2 linked regions of the Lonchura striata genome follow. The protein of the gene in region 2 interacts with the protein of the main gene of each other region in a biochemical or structural test. Links are inferred from orthologs where the notes say so. Each region holds a gene or a part of one and is shown on either strand. Other genes may lie near its edges.

Region 1 (12,517 bases), on a different chromosome or scaffold from region 2:
GAAGATTTTTCAGTATTATATTCAAAACCAATTAGCTCCAGAGTCACCAAAGATCAGAAGTAGTGCCTGGATTTGGAAGTATCAGTCACCCTTCACATGCTCTGCCCCATCAGACCTCTCTCCTCATGGATCAAAGAGTAAAATATGAAAGGAAATCTCTTGCAAAAATCTGCTAGAAGAAAGTTTGTTAGAAAGCTGGCCTTATGCTGTTACAGGAGAGCAGCTTTTCCCTATTTTATGTCCAATGTTAAAAAAGTCCTTTTCCACTAAACTAATTCCACTATGTGCTAAAGTATCCACTAAACTGATTTTCCTGCACTGTTCTGAAGGATGGAGAATTACTTGAGGCCAGCAGATTGTTCTCTCTACAGAACACAAAGAGCCCTTAGCACTGCCCCAAGGCCAACGCTCTCCTACCACACCTTGGCTCCAGCACAAGTGCTTGTGATTGAAAATGAGAAGGAATTTTTTCTGTACCTTCCAGATGGTGCATCACAGTCCCCAGTGCCTCCCCAGGGCTGCACCCTGCAAGTGACCCGAAAATAACACCTGCAAATGCACTGACTGTGTGGTCACTAGCTGAGTGAGTTTGACTGAGACCCAAGGATGCTCTGACTGCCCCCCAAATCCTGAAACTCCTGGGGGGGATGTGAAACCTTCCAGGGAATTAACAGAGCTGATTGGCAAGGAGAGCAGGAGCATTCCCAGCTTGGGATTTCCCACAGCAGCTGCACACATGGATTTGCTGGCCTCACAGAAGGCATCAACTGCTTACAATGATCAGCAGTAAATACTCACAAGGGATACCACTGAATAAAACCAGCTTCCAGCAAAGGTTTTTAAAATATTTAAATACCTACAAGCAACAAAATCTTTCTTCTGTACTAGAAACAGAAAATTGGGTTTCCTTGTTTTCTCCACCTCATGCTCCACAGGCCAGGCTATGTCTCTTTAACAAAGATAAAGCATTTTGGAAAAGAAGGACAAGGCCATGAACACTTTGGAATGTGCCAAGTAAGAGAACTGAAGTTTTTCAAATTAGAATCTCTTCCACAGTGCAGATTCAATGCTGACTGCCAGCAGGGTTATAATATCTATATCCAGCTGAAACTCAGCAGCCTGACTGATGTAAGTCACTACAAGAATTTTGGAATTGTTGCTATAAAGGACATAGACAGGACAGCCATAGTTCTATTGTGTTAGTTTAAAATTCGGTCAATTATTTGGGTTTCAAAACGTGGACTCAGAACCTAAATTTAGGCACTTCCTACCAATCCTGGCCTCTGTGACTCATGTATACACCTTCATGTTCAACTTCAAGGACAGGGTGGAATTTGCAGAATTCTGGAGCTCATTCTCTCCAGAAATCTGTGTGAAAGCATCACCAGGAATAGCCAGTTCTTGGCCAAAGAAGCTAAAGATAAACAATTGCTGCTTTCAAACAAACTATTTCTAATGTATGTCCATTCCAGGACAAACCTGACATCCCCACTACTAATGTGTCAAAGAGAGTAAAGAAAGAGTCACAATTCCAAATACAAGTTACACTAGGACTAAAGGACAGGCAGGCAGTATCCACTAAACATCTGATGGTCACTTCAAAACTATACACCAGATAACCTGTACCTCAGAGAAATCACTTTTACTACATAAAGCCAGCTCAGAAAGCTTGCAAAATTCTTAATCAAACTAAGATGTCTAATTGTTATCTAAAGACATTTTCTGATCTCATGGAATGGCTGAATTTTAATCTACAAGAAGTAGTGGCACCCTCTTTATGCCAGCTGTAAATGCACAGCCCAAATCTTGGCTAACAGGTACAGAGGAGCTACAGTACATGCATAGACATGTTCTGGCATCAGCAAATATTATTCAGGTGGCAACCACTGTTTTTCATCTGCCTTAAGTTTAGCTGCTGGAAACACGAGGAAAGAAATAATAAATATTGTATGATTATGAAGAAGCAACTTTTAACAGCAAAAAGACTAAATCAAAGCCACAAATTGGATGAAAACTAGGAGTTTCAGTGCAGAAGTCTTTTCTGGAAATGGAGTACTCAGATACTATGCAAGTTATGGAAGAAGAGGTAAAATGATAGAGGCAAACCTCAAAAGCATGGACAACAAATTAAAGGCCAGGAAAAAGACTACTCTTTTTGATTATGTACATCTAAGATGTATTTCTTATATGATTGGTGTTCACAGGCCCCAGCCAGCTTTCCTTAGAAGCAGGAAAATAAACATTTAGGTAAAGACTGTGATTTTGATTTTGATAGAGGTTGAGGAGATGGAAGATAATTTATTACAGAAGAATCTGCTTCTGACTGTGAAGACTCTGCAATTCCATACTTTTGGTCACCCAAAGCTCTTGGAATGAAGCCCTACAATGCTTCACAGGAGACTTTTTGGTGCTTGTTTAAGACCAGGCTTCCTGCAGGGTGCCTTTATATCCTCCTAAACCAGAGCTTTCAATAAGACCAGTATTGATCCAAACCTGCTCCTGGAACCACCTCCAGCCTGGAGAATCCTACCTGGGAAAGACCCAGACTGATTCCACATCATATCTGTGCTCTTTGGTTGGCTCTGAAAGGAGCAAATACTTAAAAACCATGAGCTGGAAGCTGCAGCTCAGAAATATCAGCAGAAGGCATCCAGAGCTTTAGCATCAAATATACTCTACTTATTTTGCAGAACAGAAAAGTAAACAGAAATAAATAAATCCAGCTGGTAGGAGAGCTCCCCACTTCCACCAAGGGATGAGGCCATGGTTATCACCAGTCTACATCACCTAACACTTCCCATTTTGGGTTCACTGTTCAGAACACAAGCACTGTGACTGGAAGCTCTCCAGACTGGCTTCCTGCTAGCTCACTTTTTTATTTTTCCTCTTATCAAACAGCTTTTGGGCTTCAAAAGCAACATTAAGGAAAAACACAAAGCTTTCAGTGGTGTTAGCTGCCATGTCTGCATGTGCCAACTGGACAAGACCAAATTGTCTCAGGCACTCCTTTACTTCACAGCTACAAACACACAAATTGCCCAGCTGGGTCCCTAAAACCATTACAATGTGTAAGGATACAACAGAGTCCAAGAGAAAATAAAAAGTTTCCTCACAATGTATCAGGAGAGAGTCCAGACAGGAACTTTGCTGTATCCAAAACTATTTTGGAATATTATTGTAAAAGGAGATTCAGGTTGCAGTAAGTGAATTACAAAAAAAATCTTAAAAATGTGAGAACAGAACAGGACCTGGCACCCAAACATGCCCCCCTGACCACTGGGTTTGGATCATCTCCCAGATTCCACCTCATTTCTCATCCAGCAAAACAGACTGTGCTTCAGAACCAAACCAGGGCAGGAAAAAGGGAAACTCTCTCTGTCAGACCCTGCCCTGCTGCAGGTAAGACACAAAACAGATATCTGAAGAGGCCCTCACAATTACAGGTGTTACAGTTCTCTCCTCCAGATGGGATTTCTTTAGGAATTCTTCTACAATAGCATGCAAGACACTGAGACTGAGTATTTTATAAGCTGTGTTCTCTCAGCTCCTCCATCTACAGCTTTCAAAAGTACAAATAATTCAAATTTACATGGAATATAATGTATATTGTGATCACTGTTGTATAAAAACACTAGGAGGAAAAAAAATGGATGATACTTCAAATTTCAAGTTGAATATCCAGAATAATCTTTGACTTTAACTGGTTTATTGTGTCATCATCTTATGGAACACCATCCTGTCTCATATAGATGATCATTATTGTGTATGTTCAGCACAAATAAGACCCTAAAATACATGAGGAATTCTCTTCCATGAGAAGTTTAATGGCTTTACCAGCTAAAGCAGGTATTTAAAAACCTGGTTTAAATGCCAACACACTCATGCACTGAGCACTGTCAGAAAGCACTGAGAGGTGCAACACAGCTGGGTGAGCAGGGCCAGCCTGGGCTCTGCAGGGCCAGGCAGGGCTGGAGCACACAACTCCAGCTCTCAGGTGGGGTGGGATGGGGTGTTTGTGTGATTTAAAATACCACAGCACCCATCCCAGTGCTGTGACACCCATCCCAGTGCCCTGGTACCCATCCCAGTGCTGTGGTACCCATCCCAGTGCTGTGGTACCCATCCCAGTGCTGTGACACCCATCCCAGTGCTGTGGTACCCATCCCAGTGCTGTGACACCCATCCCAGTGCTGTGGTACCCATCCCAGTGCTGTGACACCCATCCCAGTGCCCTGGTACCCATCCCAGTGCTGTGACACCCATCCCAGTGCTGTGACACCCATCCCAGTGCTGTGGTACCCATCCCAGTGCTGTGACACCCATCCCAGTGCCCTGGTACCCATCCCAGTGCCGTGGTACCCATCCCAGTGCTGTGACACCCATCCCAGTGCTGTGACACCCATCCCAGTGCTGTGACACCCATCCCAGTGCTGTGGTACCCATCCCAGTGCTGTGACACCCATCCCAGTGCTGTGACACCCATCCCAGTGCTGTGACACCATCCCAATGCCCCCGTACCCATCCCAAAGCTCCGTTCCCATCCCAATGCCCCCGTACCCATCCCAGTGCCTCCGTTCCCATCCCAGTGCTGCGGCACCCAAAGAAGGCAGGAGAGCCAAGATTTCTTCAGCAATGACCAAAACATAGAACAAACGAACAAGGGCACCCTGATGCCAAGCTCTGCTCTGGCAGGAGCGTGCGGCAGGACGTTTTCAGAGATCCCTTCCAGCGAGGGCTCTCCCACCCCTGACCCAGCCCAAGGCATGGGCGCGATGTCTCCAGCACTCCACTCAGCCCTGACTGCTGAACTCAAGCTAACAAAAACCCCAGCCTACTTCCAAGCTGACAGATGTACCGGACACATCTCCCGAACAGGATATCTAGTTCCTACCACAACACGGATTCTGCCTGAGCTCTGAGGAAAAAACTCGGCACCCCAGGGAGGGCCCGGACCCCCGCGGCGCTGTCGATGGCGGCACCGAGGGCCGCGCCCTGACCCCGCCGGCCCGGCCAGCACTCTGCGGCACCGGGAGCGCAGCCCCGCGCCCCTCCGCCCCTCGGCGCCGCCGCTCACCAGCTCGGGCACTCGAACAGGGACCCGCCGCCCGCCGGGGCCGCGCTCGCCGCCATCTTGGCTCTGCCCCATTCAGCCGGCGCGGGGCACCATGGGAGGCGCGATCGGCGCGCGGCGATCCCGGCGTGCCCCGCGCGGCGCTGGGCGGGGCCTGGCGGGGCCACGCCCCCGAGGGCTGGCCCCGCCCCCGCCCGGCCGGTACCGACCCGGGACAGGGAACAGAGCCGGTACCGACCCGGGACAGAGCCGGTACCGACCCGGGACCGGGGAACAGAGCCGGTACCGACCTGGGACAGAGCCGGTACCGACCCGGGACAGAGCCGGTACCGACCCGGGACAGGGAACAGAGCCGGTACCGACCCGGGACAGAGCCGGTACCGACCCGGGACAGGGAACAGAGCCGGTACCGACCCGGGACAGGGGAACAGAGCCGGTACCGACCCGGGACAGGGAACAGAGCCGGTACCGACCTGGGACAGAGCCGGTACCGACCCGGGACAGGGAACAGAGCCGGTACCGACCCGGGACAGAGCCGGTACCGACCCGGGACAGGGAACAGAGCCGGTACCGACCCGGGACAGAGCCGGTACCGACCCGGGACAGGGAACAGAGCCGGTACCGACCTGGGACAGAGCCGGTACCGACCCGGGACAGAGCCGGTACCGACCTGGGACAGAGCCGGTACCGACCCGGGACCGGGGGACAGAGCCGGTACCGACCCGGGACAGAGCCGGTACCGACCCGGGACCGGGGGACAGAGCCGGTACCGACCCGGGACAGAGCCGGTACCGACCCGGGACAGGGAACAGAGCCGGTACCGACCTGGGACAGGGGGACAGAGCCTGTGCCGACCTGGGACAGAGCCGGTACCGACCCGGGACAGAGCCTGTACCGACCCGGGACAGAGCCGGTACCGACCCGGGACAGGGGGACAGAGCCGGTACCGACCCGGGACAGGGGAACAGAGCCGGTACCGACCCGGGACAGAGCCGGTACCGACCCGGGACAGGGCCGGTACCGACCCGGGACAGAGCCGGTACCGACCCGGGACAGGGGGACAGAGCCGGTACCGACCCGGGACAAGGGAACAGAGCCGGTGCCGACCCGGGACAAGGGAACAGAGCCGGTACCGACCCGGGACAGGGGAACAGAGCCGGTACCGACCCGGGACAGAGCCGGTACCGACCCGGGACAGGGGAACAGAGCCGGTACCGACCCGGGACAGAGCCGGTACCGACCCGGGACAGGGGAACAGAGCCGGTACCGACCCCGGGACAGGGGAACAGAGCCGGTACCGACCCGGGACAGAGCCGGTACCGACCCGGGACAGGGAACAGAGCCGGTACCGACCCGGGACAGAGCCGGTACCGACCCGGGACAGGGAACAGAGCCGGTACCGACCCGGGACAGGGGGACAGAGCCGGTGCCGACCCGGGACAGAGCCGGTACCGACCCGGGACAGAGCCGGTACCGACCCGGGACAGGGGAACAGAGCCAGTACCGACCCGGGACAGGGGAACAGAGCCAGTACCGACCCCGGGACGGGGGGACAGCCCCGGTACCGACGCTGGAACGCGGGGACAGTGCCGGTACCGAGTACCGCGGGGACAGCGCCTCTGTCCGAGCAGAACCCGGGGCACGGCCCGTACGAGCACACCGGCCTTTCTGCCTCTGTCCCGGCCGGCCCCGGCCCGCAGCCGCCCCGGGCGGGCACAGCCGCGCTCGCTGCCCGGCTCTCACGGCCGGCCGGGATCCCCGAACGCCTCGAATGGGGTCGAACGCACATCTGAGAGCCAGACTCTGCAGTAACAAGCACGGGATGTTCCAGTTCTCCAGACGGATTTTCAGGCTCGGGAACGTGAGACGAGAGCGTTAAAATCACCGGTTCTAGCGCCGCGAACCGCTGAGAGGTGCGGCACAGCCGGCTCCCTCCTCTGTGTAGGGGAGAAAGGAGTCAAGCAGCTACAAAAACCCTGAGCTCAGCACCCTGCACCCTCAATTCCAATTTCCAGGGGACTAAAACAGGCTAGGAGAAGGATGGAGCACACAAATAATGCTCCTGTTTAGGTGTGGTGACCTAACAAACAAACTAAAGCTAAGTGCTTTTGTTCTTCTATGGCAGTGTGACACCCAAAGGACTCTGTCTGGCAGCAGGCATGCACAAATCAATAGGTTTCAAATCAATAGCTCCTACCATTTCCAAGGAAAACTTTAAAAAAGGAGCAGAACAACACAAAGGTCACATGCTTTCAAGTCAGATTTTATCATACAGGCTTGCAAATGGCTTCAAGTTCTAGCAAAAGGCAAATAGAGCTGACCCAATGCTGCTCTGAGGTATGAGATTCATTTTTCTGGGATCACCTATTGTACAGGACGCTGCACAGAAGTCTTGTGTATGTCCTTGGAAATTAATTTCATTATTTCAGGGAGTTTCATTCTGAAAAATCAGGGACCACAGAATTAAAGCTGCAGGAAACACTACTGTGCTGATGTAACGTCCTCTACTCTGCAAACACACCTGTGCCAATGTGTAAATTGCAAGAGAAATGAGCTCTGACAGAGGCTTTTAAAAGTGTTTATTGATAATTATTGGATGGAATGACGGCGCAATAGTGCAAACCACTGTGCAATTGGGAGAACACTCTTCCCAGCTTTCATGTTTACTTTATTATAGACGAGACATGGAATAAGGATTAAATACAAAATGGGTCAGTATACTGCATTTACCACCCCCACCGGGTTTTGGACAGATTACTGTTCCCAGTGCATGTCAGTTCAGAGCTACATTGAAGTGGGGAGTGGCTGCTGGTTCTGCCCAACCCTATGAGCTGGAACCAGCAACCCTTTTCATTTGCACACACCTCCCCAGTCTGGAAAACCTAGCACTTCACTCAGCCAGTTTCTGCACTTTCTATTTCATAAAGATTTGAAAATACCAAATGTTCACAAGCCACACATAACATTTACTAGGACACTACAAGTGAACTTCAAGAGCACTTCTTCAGAATCAAGATTTCTGCTAACACTCTTCACTAATGTTGCTAGCTTGTAAACTTAGGTGCCCACTTCCTCATTTTTAAGTGTTTTTTCCCCTGGAAGCTTCTAAAAACAGTTGGGAGTGAGCAGCTAAACTTTTTATATTTAGTGCTTGAGTCAGCATTGGAAGAGATTTATTTGTCCACTAGCAAGCAACCAGCTAGTTTGTCTAAGGAGATTGCACTGTTATTCTAAGTCAAAGAACATTCTGTCCTCAAGTGCATTTTGTGAAATAAAAAACAACCCCAACCACACCCAAAAAATTAAACACAGTTATGAGTCTCAAGGCTAAACTGACCAGCATGTTCAAATCATCATCCACACATACCCTCCTTGCCTCTCAAATCTGTGACAACATCCTTTTCTTCAAGAGAATCTAGAACCACAGCCACTTGGAGACAATAAAACCATGGGGCAGATACTGGAGACTTTAGAAACTGCTGGATTTACATAATGTGACTTGGTGGTGGGCTGTCTTTGAATGGCATTTGCATTCCAGTCCAACAAAGTTACCTACGTGTACAAAATGTTGAAGTTGTGCGACTTGTCAAAAACAAGACCTCTCCAATTATTGATCACATTTCAGCATACAGCTGGGACAGGGAAGAACACATTACAGAAAGCAAAACCACAAGATTTTAGTTACATAAAACAATATAATTTGTATATAAACTGATAAATACTGTCTCCATGGTTTACTAATTCCAAATACTAGTTACCTGCACGTTAGTTGCTAATATCTATTATTAGAAGTAGTTCCAACTTTTGCTCTCTCAGGGTGGTCAATTCAGCTCCAAGACCAGTCAGCCTGTTTGCTCTGACAGAAAAAATCTCAGCTGTGAGACTGGTTTCCATGGGAAGATTTCAGTTCAACTTCCAGATAAGGAGTCCTATGATTATACAGGCCACAGCAAGGCCAAGAATCAGGATACAGATCTTCTTACGGGATTTCTTCTAATAAGAGAAGAAAAAAGAAGCCACTGACACCAGGAACACTTGAGGAAAAAGCAAGGCTACCATTCATGTTACTAACTTGGGTGAACAAGAGCCCTTGGTACCCCCACAGTTAGAGAGAAGTAACCAGTGTAGTCTGAACATTTTTACATGTTCCTTAAACTCCATGATTCTACAGATGAATGTTTTTAATTTTAGGAGTGCAGTGGTCTAAGAGATGCAGTTAAGTCAAAATTTGACAGGTTTTGCTTCTCTTAATGAAAATACAAGCCTCAGAGAAGGCCAAACCTTTCTAGCTATTTACATTTTTTCCTAATCAAACTCCTAAGCAGTTCTCACATACAATCTCCCCTTGGCCACTTGGGCTTGGTGTTGCATTTCTACAATTTAAATTATTTCATGTACAGTTACTGAACTTGGATTTTACAGCTTTGCTCACTTTATTCATCACAGGAAACTACAGGCCTTCCATATACACCAAATATTTTTAACTTGGCATCTAAGGATTTGATATATAACCACTTCTTTCTCCATCCAGGAAAAAACCCCATGCAAAACATATCCAACAGCTCTGAAACTTAGATTTATAAATACCTCAGAACTTTGGCAAGGAAGCCATGGAGAGAGAGACTGCTACTACATGCTGCCAGATGGTAAAAGCAACATTCCCACCCTTGCACTCAACAGCACTGGAGTTTTATTGCCCTCCAGTACCTCCCACTTAACAGCTTGGAAGAGTCCAGTATTTTCTTGTGTAAGTCCCAGCAGTAATGGACTGACTAAAGCAGAACCCTTACCCCTTCACAGAAGCTGGAGCTAGAGGGACAAGGATGGTGACAGGAACCTACAGGAAACACTGGATCCCATACAGCAGTGAGAGCCACTGCAAGAGATTTGATGGAGCACAAACTATGGGATAGAAGCTCAGCAGCTGGATAGGAGTGCTGCAAATCCTGGTCACCAGAGTGACCAGACCTGAGTCTGGGCACAGATTTTTGCATGTCAGTGTCTTGGCTGATATCTTCAAAAGTTGCATATGATATCAGAATTTGTTCTTGTTTCTTCTGCTAACTCCTAACAACAACAAAGACAGGTAAACACTTAGGCTTGCAGAGTGTGAAGGGCCAGACCCTATTTCTACTCTTTTAGTCTAAAGTAGAAGGTGAATTTCAATACCATGTTTTTGACTCAAGTGCTTTATATACTCCTTGCAGGCAATTTTGAATGAATGCCAACTTGCATGAGCTGGTTTTAATAAGCAGTCTGGTGTGCTGCAGTCCTCAGTGTCTTGCTCTGCCTGTTTCATTAGTGCTCAACCATACACTGACAATCAAGCAAGCACACAAAATTTACCTGATAATAGGCAGCTCTCTGTAACTGCTCACTGGCTCTTTCCACATGGACTTCTGCACTTTCCACATTTGCCTCTATGCTATCTATGGAAAGAACAGGAGAACTCATTGCAAAATATTTCAGAGCTTCAGTGTTTAAAAATTATAACTAAAAATATAATACTTTTAATGCAAAGTACTGAAAATTTTAATCCATGACTTGCAAAACAAGTAACTCTACCAAGAAAAAACTTATTACCCAAATACACTTACCAATCATATCTCCTTGGTCATGAATCATCATGGCTAAATCCTTGAATATCTGATTGACATCCAAAATGTCTGCCTGAAGACAACAGTTTAAGAAGTTACAATGAACACTGGGTACAATATTTTCTAATCCTCACTCTTAGTACCTCTTCCATCACTCAAAGGGTCAGAATAGGCACCACCATTCACTGAGGTGACTTGCTGTTACCACCTGTGCAACTTGGGATTAGCATGGGAGCCTACAATGCTCCAGCTACTGAATATTTGTTTCATCACACCAGCAATTAGCACAGTATGAACACTGTAACATGGGTTGCTCCTGCCATATCTGAAGGATCACCAGCCAACACTGAGGGAAAATATGCCTCCTTCACCAGGAGCAGGGAGATCATCTTGGCATCAATCCTCTCTAAGAGGAACTCTATTCCTCCACCATCAGCTCTCCTCAGCCCATCCCATTAATTAACACTGCATCCTTTGATTTATCTCCCGGTGCTGTTAACTGTGCAGGATTGACTGGTCACCTCTAATTGCCTGATTGCAGTTTCTCTTTCTTTAATGAGCTCAAGGTCCTGTTCAGTTATTGCCACATCTTCTTCCTGAGACTGCATCTGATTCCAATCTTCACCACTGGAAAGAGAAGGAAAGTCAGTATCTGTATCTCTCTGAGCATAGGTACTTCCATGCTGCATTTTATGGCAAAATGAGTTAAAGTTGAAGACTTCCCTACAGAACAACCCACAGGTTGTTGGCCTGTCACTGTGTACAAGGACAAGACCAATTTGTGACAAGAATCACAAACTGAAACAATTGAAAAAAAGGACAGATCAGGCAATGTGAAGACACTGGAAAGCAGTTACATGCATAGCACACCTGTTCTAGAACATAACAGTTATCTACACCATTTTAGAAGAAACTGCCCATTTCAGTTCTGCTTTAAAAAAAAAAAAAATACTTGTACCATCCCTGCTTTCTTACCATCTCTCCAAAAGGGAGAAACCAGGGTGAAAGTTCTGACAGAGAGCAGCCTGCAAGCATATTAACAGAACAGAAGAACACCTGAAAAGCATCTGGACTCAAAGCCTCTTGCCTATCTGGCATTTGGAGATAAGACTAAAGTGTTTTAGTATTTTAATTCATTAGTCTAGCAGGAACTTTGAATTAAATTGCACACCAGAAGAGATATTAAAACTCAAGTAACTCTTCATCCCAGTCTACCTCTCTCCTGATGAGCTGGTTCTTCACAACTGCTGCAGAAGTTAAATCAATTAAGAGTAGAGCCAGCATCTATAATACAAAGCCACCTCTATGTTCAGCTTAGAATGTTCTTCAAGGGCAACATCTCCATCTTTTCAATAGAGAAGTGTGCCAGAAAACATTGTTATCAGTGTTTGGTACAACACTAAGTAGTAAGTTTTAAGGTCTTAAAAGTGCCTTAAGCAATGAAAATAAACTACATGAATAGGTCAGACTCAGCTAACCATTCCAGTAATTCAGCTCTGAGATGATCATAGGGTTTGCAAATCTCAAAAGTAGAAGTTTCTGACACATGGCACACAAGAACAGCTTTGACTGTGGAATAGCTGCTGTGTGCCATCATCTTTTATCTCTGGGTCCCACTGCTTTAGTATGCAAGCCTTCAAAGCCATCCCAGCCCCTGCATAACTGAACACCTGGGGCTTCACCTCTGGCACAGAGTGAAAGCCCAGGGCTAACGAAGGGACACTACCAAGCAGCTGAGCAGATGAAGGGCAGCTTGCAGAGAGAGGATGAGACAGGAAAGAAGATCCCTTGGTTCAGAAAGTGAAAGGATTGATACAGACAGGGCCAACAGATTTCAGCCCAGCTGACA
Region 2 (12,409 bases):
CACCCTGTGCAGGAGATGGGAGGGAACATAAGGCTGAGGCAAGACAGAAAGTGACAGCAGAATGGCAGCTGCATTGTACTGGAATAGAGTGAAAACATACTCTAAGTGGAAAGGAATATATATTAATACCCAGGACTTTCCTCTCTGTAGAGAGACAAGTTTACATGAACTGGCATGACCAGGGGAATGGTTCTGGCCACTCTGTCACCACAGAGACAGGCAGATCCTGGGGAGCAGAGTTCTTGGGAAAAGAAGGCACAAGAGAAAAGTGATGAAGTGATAGGACACGGGAGCTGTTCCAGCAGCTTCTGGTGTGGACTGTTGCCCTCTTAAGCACTGCTGGCAAATCTGCCTGCACCCTGTTATGAGGTTTCACAGTTACTCTGGAGTTTTTCCAGTACAACTACTGGAAAATGAAACTGAAATATGAACTGAGAGAATAAAGCATTCATTTAAATACAGATTAACCATAGGTGTTGAACCATTTTCCCCAGCAAATAACTCCTGCAGCATGCAGCTAAAGAAAGCCTGAATTACAATGCATAACTCTAAGGCATTTCTAAATCATCACATTTTGTTGCAGCGAATCATTGCACTGAAGTTTTAGAACTGTGAGTAGCTTCTGAAGATGATGTCAACACAGTCATCATAACTGTGTGCATTTCAATGGAAAACACTTGGACTAAGCCTTGTGCATGGCTATTTCAATACAAAAATATTTAAGGGAAAGTGTATTGCCATGGTGAACTACATAGAAAAACTAGGGTGTGGCATGGGAAAAAAGGCAAAAGTTACAGACAAAGGCAAAAGCTGCATTTTTGAAAATTGTGTTAATTTATCCATGTATTTTTTGCATTAGCTGCTCCTTTGGTGACACAGAACAGACAGTGTAGCACAAGGCCTGAGTCTGTACAGTTTTCCCTACAGACTGGCTGTGTAGTAGGGTGGCTTCTGTAACAATATTCCCTGGAGACATCCAAGCCTGCCAAAGGGGCTCCAAGTGGTAATGGAAGCATGTGGCTTCCATGGATGCTTCTGACCTGTTGTATCTTTCCCAATTTGAATGCAAATCTTTGTGGGGATCATCCTTGTAGTGTTTTTGGGAAGATGGGGAGAAAATTCTAGGGAGGTAACTTCACATACTTCTGCTCTCTGTACAGATGGCAAGTGAAATACAGTTTAGCTGAATGTTCGTTTCTTATCCTGGTCTTTCAGATTCTTTGGTGTTATGCTGATTTAGTGCTTTACTATTCACACTTCTGTGGACTAGTTCTGGAATGGTCAATAGGATGGACAGCAGCCCTTAGCATTTAGAACATTTTTAACTGCTGCTGTTTCAGGCCACACCAGCAGGTGAATTCCTGTTGATGGCAGAGGTTGCATCACAGAATCTTTATTGTACTTCATCACTGAGCCAGTGTGTGGAACTGTAGGTCTCCCCAATTCTTCTATAAACTGGACTCCAAAGTCCCTTTGTAAATATGCTTCATGTACTGTAATGTGGCTGTCTGGTTCAGTGGGAGCTCCTTCACATGCAGAAGAAACTATTCTGGAAGAAAGATCACTTTAAAATAGGCTAAAGGCTCTGTTCACATAAGCTGTGGGTCCATGAGGATTTATTTGGTGACAATACTGGTTTAAGTAATTCTGGCTTTTTTTCCTGCCACCTCCCTCTCTTCCCACCAATTGTTCTTGCGCCACTCCCTGCAGTGACAACAGAGCTGTTTGTGTATTACTTTGTGAACAAACAAGGGAACTGATCTAATACAACAAAATAGAGATGTGCTCCTTGTTTTCTTCTGCCAGTTCACTTGACTTGTGTGATTCTTTACACAGCTACGTAAATCACTCCTTGGCAGAGGATAGAAGGGCAGGTGGAAGCAGGGGAAATTAGGTGGATGGAGTGGGATGGGACTGGTTGAGCCACGCTGTTGCTGATCATGAAGGCACAGACTAAGATGATACTTTACTGACATAAAACTGCATGTTGCCCCTCTGCCATCATGGCAGCAGAGCTGTTAGAGCAGCATAGAGAATCCTACACCTTAGGTCAAACCTTTTCAACACTGAAGATAAACCATAAACTGAAGTGGCACACAGGCAGATTTCAGGACATTGCTGAGCTGCAGCTCACCACTACCATTGGGATGAGATCTTGTTTCTCTGCCATCTTTCACTCCTGGCTGCAGCTTCCTTTCTGGTGGTCATCAGAGAATTTGCATTTGTCTGGTTTTGCCCATTAGCTAAAGACAAAGGATCAAGTTACTTCATGCTTGATCAATTTTCTTCTGGGTTAGTGAGCTGAACTTGCTCATTGAGAGTGTTTTGAAAAGCAAAGCCCATGGAAGAGCAGTGGTGGAAAACCAGAATTAGGAACATGAAGAAGGTTTGGAAAGGGGGTGGGTGAGATATCCTTCCTTCAGTACCACTGAGCTGTCAGATCAACTCAGCTGTCTTGTCTTCTGATTCAGATCCATCTTCCATTTTAATGCAGGTTTTTAGCTCTAGCAGATGGATAACGTATGTAAGCTTTATCCATATCATCTTGAACTCCTGCAGCAAGATTTAAATGTGTGAGCTGTTCCTTGCTTTCAGAGTATGAGTCAGCCAAAGGTTTGACCCATTAATCTTTCAAAAGTGAGAGGGGGGAAAAGACTGCAGCCTTTTCTGGCTGTTGCAGTCCCATTACACAAAAGGGATGCTATGGTTTTTCATGCAGATGCTTTTCCAATTGGTTTCTAATGTTGCTGTTTTCATGAGGCAAAAACTACGTTAGCAGTCAGACTTAAAAACTGAACTGGTATTCTGAAAATCCAGCCATGTTTTCAGACTCTTAATAAAAACACCAGTAAAACAGCCTCTGTAATTGGGGATGGACTGACAGGGCTATTGGCAATACATGGAGCAGAACAGAATCCACTTTAGTTGCCATGGCTATGTTTTCCTGACAAACCCACAATTTTAAAAATTACTTTTATCCAGTTAATTCAGTAGTTTTCATCTGTAGACACAGAAAAACCAATTAGTAACAATACTAAGAAACACTTTTTATAGAACAGATCCTGGTATCAGGTAATTTAGCTGTGGGGCTATCTCTGCACAGAGGTAAAATACTATGCTACCTAAGGCAGCATAGTACTGGGGCAGCACAAAGGCCAGGCCCCCTTTGTTAATGAAGGAGCTCTAAAGAGCCAGACTTAGATGCTTCACTGAGTAACAGGAGAGGCTGGAAGAAAACAGGTATTGCCTGGGCAAAATACCACTCCATGCTCCCTGTGTCAGTGGGAACAAGAAGCTTGTTATCAAGGACTCTACTCTTTGATGTCTGCCCACTAGCTCATTATTTCGTATATCCTCCATTCCCAGCACAGCACAGCCCCTTCATCTTTAAGTTGGCAAAATTAAGGGCTACCCACACAGTTAGAAACCCTGAGCTAATTCTATGACTCTTTCTTACATATCGTCTACTGCCTACTCTTGGAGACAAAAGTTCTCAGCCACCAGGAACAGCTGATTGTCAAAATCACCACTAGAAGAAGGCAGAAGGTATGTGGACTACCTGAAGCATATCAAGGAAGAAAGACACCAGGGGAGATGTCTTGCTAGACCTGCCACAAACAAAAGTGAGCTGGTCAAAGATGAGGCTGCAGCAAATACAAGATTGTAGAGCCGAAAATCTTGAGAGACATTAGCAGTGCAAATATTAGAATCACAACCCTGGACTTCAGGAAAGTAGATTTTGGCCTACTTGGGAATCTTTTTGGCAGGATCCAATTGCTATGGGGCTCAGGGCAGGTGGTTGATCTTCAAGGAGAAGCTCCTCTAAGAAATTAAAGAGCAGTCCATTCCAATATGCAGAAAACCAAGCAAGTGAGGCAGGAGACCAGTGGGGATATATTAGGAATTCCCAGCTGAACTCCAACACGACAAGGAAGTGTATGAAAAGTGGAAGCACAGATGGACTGCCCAAGAAGAATACAGAGACATTGCTTCAGTGTGTAGGGCTGGTGTTAGGAAAGCCAAAGCTCATCTGGGAGATGAAACCAGAGAGGCAAAAGTTGTCAGGAAAGGCCCCTATAGGTACAGTAGCAGCAAAAGGAAGGCTGAGGAACATATGGATCTGCTGCTCCATGGAGCAGGGGCAGACACAGTCACAAAGGACATGGAAAATGCAAAGGACACAAATTGAAGCATGTGAATTTCTGATTAATTACAACTTTAAAAAATGATTACCATGAGGGTAATTAAACACTGAACACAGAAGACCACAGTGGTTGCAAAATATCTTGTGTTGAAGGAATTCATAACTGGACTCAGTTAGGCCTTGAGGAACTGGCTTTAACCAGCAGGGGTTAGAGATGATGAGCTTTGGAGGTTCCTTCTAACCTCCAGGATCCCATGATTCTGTGAAGAAGCTTATCTGGTAGAGAATGAATGAAAAGTGTGAGACTGATTTACTTTCAACCCATATATATATAAAAGTATTTCAATGTCCCTGAATGATCCAGAAATATTGTGGTATGTATTAAAAAAACAACAATCCAAAATCAGACTATCTATTAAGACCCCATGTCTTCGATGCATTGCAGAGTTTTTTTTGACATTTGTTATTGCAATCCTGTGAGAACCCATATTTGGCAGAGTCTTTCAATTTATATTAAATCCAGCCTTCCAAGTACCCACCATCTGTTTTTAAGTACCATTAAATCACTACTTAAAACTGACTGCAAATTAAAAAAAAAATATATATTGTTCTCCTGTTTTCCTCTACATATTATATCAAGGGCCCTATTACTTCTTAGTTAATATGTGTATGGTATTTATGTATTATATGGTATTATACTAATTAAACAAATAATGAACTATAATATATTTTTTCCTAGTACCCTTCTGGGATACAAGAAGTGCTTCTCCCATAGCACTGTTGAGAAACTGAGGCAGAGAAAAGCATGGAGGCTATCCAAAAACAATCTCAGCAGAGCACAAATTGAAACAAATTCCCTGAACTTTCAAGCTTGTGTTTAACCACACAACTAATTCTTTAAATAGAAGCTAGATGAAATGTACTATGACATTTGGAAACTGGGTTCTCCTGGTACACCAGTCTTTCATGTCTTTCGAGAAAGTGCAAGAAAAGCAAGTGGTTTAGACTAAAAAGTGTCTACAGAGGGAAGCAGAGCTATCACCTCGAGGAGGAAGTTCCCCAGCACCTAGAAGATAGGAGAAGGCACAGACCTGCCAGGACAAAGCTGTTTATATAAGGGAGATGAACTGATTGATTCTGGGAGTGGGTGGGGAACCACACTGCATAATGGCCATGAAGCACAGGCTAGCTGAGGCTTCCACTTTCCTCATGAGCTGGTGAAATGTGGTGGACTTGAACGTGCAGCTCAGCTGGCACGTCTGGAGATGTCAGCTAACAGCTGCAGGACAAAGGGGAGCACTCTTCTCCCCAGTAGTTCAAGGGCTACAGGGAGAAGTTAAAAATTCTCTCTGCTGAAAACTTTGTGCCTCCCCTTCTTTCAAAAAATTTGCAGCACAGTCGTGATTTAGTCTTAATTACAAGACACCAGTCTAAAAGAATCCTGTTGTACTCTAGAAACAAGCCTGTATATTTTCCCACAAACACTTCTAACAAAACCTCAATCTTACAGCACAGACCTACACAGGGTTTTTACCTGTAAACTTACCACCTTTTGCTATATGTTGTGCAATGCCTCATTGGAGCCTACAGTCCTGCAGAACTGTTTATTGCTAAAAACACTATAGTACACACAGCATTTGAAGTATATCTCTTCCTCTTTATCTCTGAAGTTCCTGCGAGATTAAATTTTATATACAAGGCACGGCTCACTTCTGTCACTGCCCTCAAAGCTTTTTTTGAGACTGGAATGTTTCCCTCAGGGAGAAAAGACTTGTTTCTGCCTCTACAAGTATAGCAGATAAGATGATGTGCCTGTGGGCAGATTACTTTCCCCCTTTGTTAGAAGTTGTGTGGATTTTGTTTTTTCTTCATAATTATTATGCTCTGGGACCTGTGGTTTGCGAATAAATAAATTAACAAACAAAAACCTGCAAGTGCAGTTATTTAATTTATAGCTGCAGAAGGAGCTTGCCGGGGAGTACAGAAGTAGGAAGCAGAGAAGAGCCTTTCTCTCTTATCCGGAAACACTATTCGCAGGCTGAACGACTTTTGTGGGTTAAGAGAACACCAAAACAAAACAAACCAGAAAAAACCAACAAAACAACAACAACAACAAAACCACACCAAACCAAAAAGCCCGACCCAAGAGACCCTTTGGGCACAAGGGAAGTTGGTGAGAGAGGCAGAGCGGTGGGTATCACCCGCGGCGCACGGGGCTGTTTGTTTCTCCGCCACACGCGTGCTCGGGCTACAGGCAGCGCCGGCCAAGCGCCACCACGCCGCGACCACGCGGGCTCATTCGGCTCAGCCCCCAAGACGAGCGGGGTCCCTGCGGCCCGCTGAGCCCCGCAGGCGGCGGCGGGCGCTTTCCCAGCGGCGGCAAAGGCGCTTTCCCGGCGGCGGGAAAGGCGCTTTCCCGGCGGCGGGCGGTTTCCCGGCGGCGGGAAAGGCGCTTTCCCGGCGGCGGGGCGCTTTCCCGGCGGCGGGAAAGGCGCCGCTCCGCCGGCCCGGGGGCTCCAGCCCGGGCAGCGCGGCCGCTTTACGGCACAGCCGTTCGAACCTCCGCGTCCGCGCTTTGCGGCTGCGTGGCGGTGGGTGGGGGGCGGGGAAGATGTCTGAGCGGGGAGAAGCCCCGGCGGCGGCACCGGCGGGAGAGATGCCGGCGAAGAAGCAGAAGCTGAGCAGCGACGAGAACAGTAACCCCGGGGACATGTCCGGCGACGAGAACGTGAGGCCGGGCGAGCGGCAGGCGGCGCGGGCGCGGCGGCGCGGCGGGAGCGCGCGCGGCGGCGCGGGGCCTCGCGGCGGGGGCGGGCGGGAGCGCGCAGGAGGAGGAGGGGCCGCCCCGGGCCGCCGTGAGGGGACATCGCCCTCCGGGACCCCCCGGGTGGCTCCCGGGCCGGGGAGGGCGTGAGGGAGGAGAGGGAGAAGGGGTCTCGGCCCAGCCGTCCCGGCTCGGTGGCCGCCGGAGGGAGGCCCCGGTGGGAGAGACCGGGCAGGGTCTGGGGGAGAGGCGCCCGCTGTGCTTCCACGTGGGTGAAAGTGGATTTGCGGCCCAAGCTGTGAGCGGGCGCTGTCTCGAACTCTGCTTCCAAACGTCACACTCTTTTTTAAAATTTTCCCTGCAAACCAGCAGCATTTTCCATCTTTCTTGTAGTTTTGTATCGTGTGTCTTCACTGTCACGTTGTAGAGTAACATGCAGCACGAGTTTATGTGTGCAGCCTTTTGGTGAATGAAAAGTAGGAGATGGTGCTCAAACTACTGTCAGCAGAAGGCAGCGGGGATGGCGTCTATAATCTCTAAGTTAGGTGAAATTCTAGTGTTCAGAGCAAAGGTAATGTGATTGATGTAGAATAACTTTATACCTGAAAGGTAAACTTAATCTAAGGTATCGACCAGTCACTTTATGTAGTTACTGGTGTGGAGAGGGGTTGTGTAGTTACTCTGTGTGTTTTATAATGTGTAGAAGTTTCTTTTCTGCACTTATCCAGCTAGTGAGGGAACTGGACTACATCCTCCACAACGTTTGGAAGTGGTGCTTGTGAGGTGACAGGCAAGTTTGAGATGTTCCACACCGCTGCTCTTGTTTTTTTTTTTTTTTCATAGCTTAGCAGCATTTGTGGATCCAAATGTAATTTGGTGACATATGTTCAGGCTTAATTTGTTGTCAGTTGTAGGCTATCATGGAGTGTGGAATAGGTTGCCCCATCTCTGGAGGTGTTTAAGGCCAGGCTGGATGTGGCTCTGCACAGCTTGGTCTAGTGAAAGGTGTCCCTGCCTGTGGCAGTGGGCTGGACTAGATGATCTTTAAGGTCCCTTCCAATAGAAATCACTCTGATTATATGATTCTCTGATTCTCTTATGTGGGTTGCCTCAGTGGTGAAGGGATTCTTTTTCCAAGAGTTTGTTACTGGACTCCACAACTCCTGCAAGATGGGGGATTCGGTTTAAAAGTTGACATAGTTGTGTTGATTTGGAGAAAGGGTGTGTTTTGCTCCACAGGTGTCCCGCATGCAGGTTTGTTGGTTATGTGGTAGTTGCAGATACATGGTATAGCTGCACCACACCAGCTGCCTGGTGTTCTCACGTTGGCGGTATCTGTCTAGTCCAGAGAAAACTTCAGTCTTGTCAAGTATTAAAATTCTGACATGTGCACTTGGGAGATGAGAGTTGGACAAGCTCTGATTTTTTTTTTAGGGTAAAGGAGAAGAAACAGGAAAACTTAAAAAATGTTAAATTTGGTTATGAATATTAGTGGAGGGTTGGCTCTTTTAGGGGTCCAATGTGAAGGGAATTACTCCAGATTTGGGCAGTACACTTACGGGCTTTTGTGGTATCTTTCCTCCTTTTGTCCTCTGAATGTCCTGTTTTTCAGAGTTGTTGGACAAACAAAGGCTAGTACACCTCTTCAGGCTCCTGATAATACAGACATGAAACTGGGACAGAGAATGAATGCTTGGTGGGAATTGGTGTATTAATGTTTATAGTTGACCTCATTCCATATTCCTAGTGGAGTTCCTAGCGCAGCTTTGTGAATCTCCTACAGTGACAGGCTGTTCTCTGCCTCTGTCTCCCTTAGTTCAGCTCTAGAAATTACTTAGTCTAGCATGAGATGTTTTCCCCCCACTAGTCTGATGGAAAGTGAACTATCTTGCCAGAAAAAATGGGAAAAGTTGATTTTTAACAAGCTGAACGTACTCATTTGGAAACACAGGGTTGGCAGGTACAATGCAGATGAAGGTACTGTGCTCTGTGACGGGTGATACAGGGAAATGTCCTTTTAAACAGTGCCCTGCAGTCAGACCACACAGGAAATTGTAGTTTCTGCTGATTATCCAAAGCCAATTTAAAATCTCTCAGCAGCTAGATGGGGTGTTTTGTGTATTTGTGTTTTTTCAGTTTTCACCATTCTTATCTTACACTAATGGTTGGAGGGCAAATTGGATTAGTTAGCTGATCAGAATTTAGCTTTTAGTGGAAACAAGTGAGTATCTGTGGTACAGGGGGGAGAGGAGGAACTTTGTCTTCTGATGTTGATGCTGCCCCGCTGCAGAACCGTGCTGTGAGTGGTGCTGCTGAGAGTGCACAGAAGCCTCAGAATGGCTCGGTTCTTGGTAAGGTCAAGCCTCATGTTTTTTAAAAAACAACTATTCTTCAGTTCTTCAGAAGTACTCATTTCATCTGGATCAAAGATGTTTTCTAGGGGAAGCAGCTGCTTTATCTCTAGACATTTTCTTAAGAGCAGCTACCAGTATTCTGAAGAAACGTCACTAGATCACAGTTCATAGCTCTCCCTCTTGGATTAGTCCTCATGTGATTCATGTTCTGTTTCTAGAGAGGAATGCTATTATGCTGGCATTAGATTTAAATACATGAATCTAAATAACACCAAGGCCTGAGAGATCTGTTTGTATGAATGACAAGAAGTGAAAAGGCCAAGTGCTGCAAGATTAGTTGAATTTATGCAGCAATTATGATCTCTTTGTGACAGTCTATATAATTTTGGATGTTTTCAGGATGATGCTGTTAGTATTGAAAGTGGTACTAACACTGAACGCCCTGATACGCCAACAAACACTCCTAATGCACCAGGAAGAAAAAGCTGGGGGAAAGGAAAATGGAAGTCGAAGAAGTGCAAATATTCCTTCAAATGTGTAAATAGTCTAAAGGTAGGTATGCATGAGCTTCAGGGAATGCTTGGGCATCACTTACTGGCAGCAGTGTTAATGTTGGCTGTGAGACAGCGTCAAGCTAGAGACTTTTAAATATCTTTAAGCACTTATGTTCCATGCTGATTTGAAGCAGGTACCTTTCTTTCTTGGAATAGCGAAAGTTTTGAAGAAAAAAGATACTGAGAAATAGGAAACAGTAGATAGTGCTGAAGTTAACCTTGTTTTTGTACAGTTTGCAAAGTTTTGTGTGATGCTGTGATTATATATTTCATTGAAGCTGTAGATGATAAATATAAGAAGTTGGATAAACAAGTTGAACTAGAACAAAACCTGTGACAACTCCATGCAAAACACAGAACCTGCTCAGATGTCTCTGTGCTGATAAAAAACCCAAACAAATCAACCCAACAATCTTAAGAGTAGCTTTTTCCTCACACTTAACCAGATTAGGTATTTTCTGTGCTCTGGCAGTATCATAGCTACTTGTGCAGTGCAATTTGGTTAATTTATTGTGAGTGTTGGGATCATGTGTTAGCACCTGATTCAGGCAGTGTGTATCTTCCTGTGTAACACCTGATGGTTTTAAGATATGTGGATTGATGGTCTTTATTGCTTGTTCTGCTCTTTTAGCATAGTGCTGTTTTCTTCCGCACTGGTGACAGACTATGGTGGACTGAATGAGTTTTCTCATTCGTGACTATTTTACTCTGTCAGGATGTTCTTATTTTCCTGATTCCTCAGCCTCATGTGGGATATTTATGTGGCAAGATGGGAGTTATGGCAAACTCTGTGAGGATCTGTGTAGCTCAGCAGTGGATATTTTCTGCAGAATTGCTCTAAGAGTATTTTTTCATTCCCCTATGCTTAATTGGGGAGCTGTGGTGATGTGGCTCCTTTTCTGAGCTTTGTCTTCAGGCTGCCGTAGTGAAACACTGGGGTACTTGAGCGGGAGGGGATGAAAGGTTTGGAGCGTGGAAACCTTCTAAATGAGTTTTGCCACTGGAGAAACTGTGATACGAAGTTACACTGACAAAAGTATCTGGGAAACAAATTGATCTTATTGTGTTCTTGAAGTATAAAAATTGCCTCCAGACTTTTGAGGGTGTAGGAGGAAGGGAAGTTATTTCATTTCACCAAGGTAGGCAGCAGTTCCTGTGATTCGCGTGAATCGCCCCCACGGATGGTGCCATTTGTGGCTTCAAGTCATACTTCAAACACAGACATGGGCCTTTGGACACCCAAACTTTTTACAAGTTCTGAGCTTTGTTACTCGTACTTGTTTTCTGTCTGCAGACAAAGATGGTTAGTACTTCCCAAGTGTCTTCTGGGGAAACAAAACATTCCCTCACCCCAGTGTCAATCCAGACCCCACTGTAGGGTGATCCAAAAGACCAAGCTGTGAAACTAAGCAATCCCCGACTTCCTTGGATTTGGATCAGGATCTGGGAACAGATTCCTGTGCAAGTGGAATCAAGCTATGAGGGAGTAAATGTAGCATTTCAACTAAGTGGGGTATTTTTATTAGCTTTTCTCCCCATTTCTCTTTGGTCTGAAATCAATGGTAGTAATAAGAGATGTGCATGTTAAGACAAAGACCTAAGTAGCAGCCAAATTTGGTTATTTACTTCATGATTGAGGAAGCCTCTCTTCTTTTCCTTTTCCCAGTCTTCCATACTAACTTTGCAGGTACTCTGGAGAAAACTGTAATGATTGAATGTTGTATATAGGTTTAGAAAGACACTTGTGACTCTTTGAGTACTGTGTCATATATCTCCTAGTTTATATGTTTTTGAACTATGCTGTAAGATGCAGGTATTGAAGTTAATGAAGGATCTACATGATTTAAAGATCATAGAAATTAATGTTCTTTAGGTGTGTATAAATTACATGTTTTTCCACTTTTGCACTTTTGGTTTTCCCCTCTTATTTTGTTTTTTAGTTTTTTCTTTGGGGAAACAAATATAGCCATTACTGTCTGCTTTGAGTGTTAAATGATTATGACTCAGCCTGAAAAGCTCAGTGCTTGCTAAATACGCGTTTTAAACACTACTTTGGGAGTTATTTTGAATGAAATTTAAGCATCCGGAAAACAAAAATACAACTTGGAAAATGTCAGGAAATAAAAAAACCTGCCTTTATTCTTTATGGAGTAGTATGTTACTTATGAGATGTACTGAAAAATCTTTGCTTTCTGTGGGCTGAATGGAAATAGGGTTTATAAATGAGCATATACAGCTAGCACTGTTGCATATCCTCATCTATCTATATATATTTTGCTGATAAGTCTTTTGGCAGAAAACAGTGTATATTTTGCTTTGTTGTGCTGCCTTTAAAGCAATGCAATTATTTTCCCTACCTTTTACTTCTGCTTAAGGTGTGTGATTAAGATGTAAGCAGCTTGGTGTTGTCTCAGCTTCTATTTGTTGTCCCCTGACCTGGGAACCAGCATCCAATACCACGCAGAATTCTAGCTTGTTGGTGTGTAATGGAAACTAAATGTAACTAAACCCGCTGCCCACAATGGCTTACTTCCACTTCTGGGAACTGGAAATGCATGTGTGGGTTGTTGGTTCCCCACTGGCAGTGTGGGTG

The links.
Region 1: the proteins of EED (region 2) and PPP1R8 form a complex in vitro, tested with the Homo sapiens proteins (2 studies listed by BioGRID). The link is inferred for Lonchura striata from reciprocal best matches to the Homo sapiens genes EED and PPP1R8.

What each region holds. Positions count from the first base shown.
Region 1 is NC_134628.1:5,418,406-5,430,922, forward strand, and holds the start of PPP1R8 (nuclear inhibitor of protein phosphatase 1), read right to left. Parts: upstream 5,194-12,517; 5' UTR 5,131-5,193; coding exon 5,075-5,130; intron 1-5,074. Other genes in the region: STX12 (syntaxin-12), read right to left, coding at 8,975-9,064, 10,418-10,500, 10,669-10,741, 11,190-11,295. UniProt on the Homo sapiens protein: Inhibitor subunit of the major nuclear protein phosphatase-1 (PP-1). It has RNA-binding activity but does not cleave RNA and may target PP-1 to RNA-associated substrates. May also be involved in pre-mRNA splicing.
Region 2 is NC_134604.1:34,842,925-34,855,333, reverse strand, and holds the start of EED (polycomb protein EED), read left to right. Parts: upstream 1-6,735; 5' UTR 6,736-6,755; coding exon 6,756-6,872; intron 6,873-9,661; coding exon 9,662-9,814; intron 9,815-12,409. UniProt on the Homo sapiens protein: Polycomb group (PcG) protein. Component of the PRC2/EED-EZH2 complex, which methylates 'Lys-9' and 'Lys-27' of histone H3, leading to transcriptional repression of the affected target gene.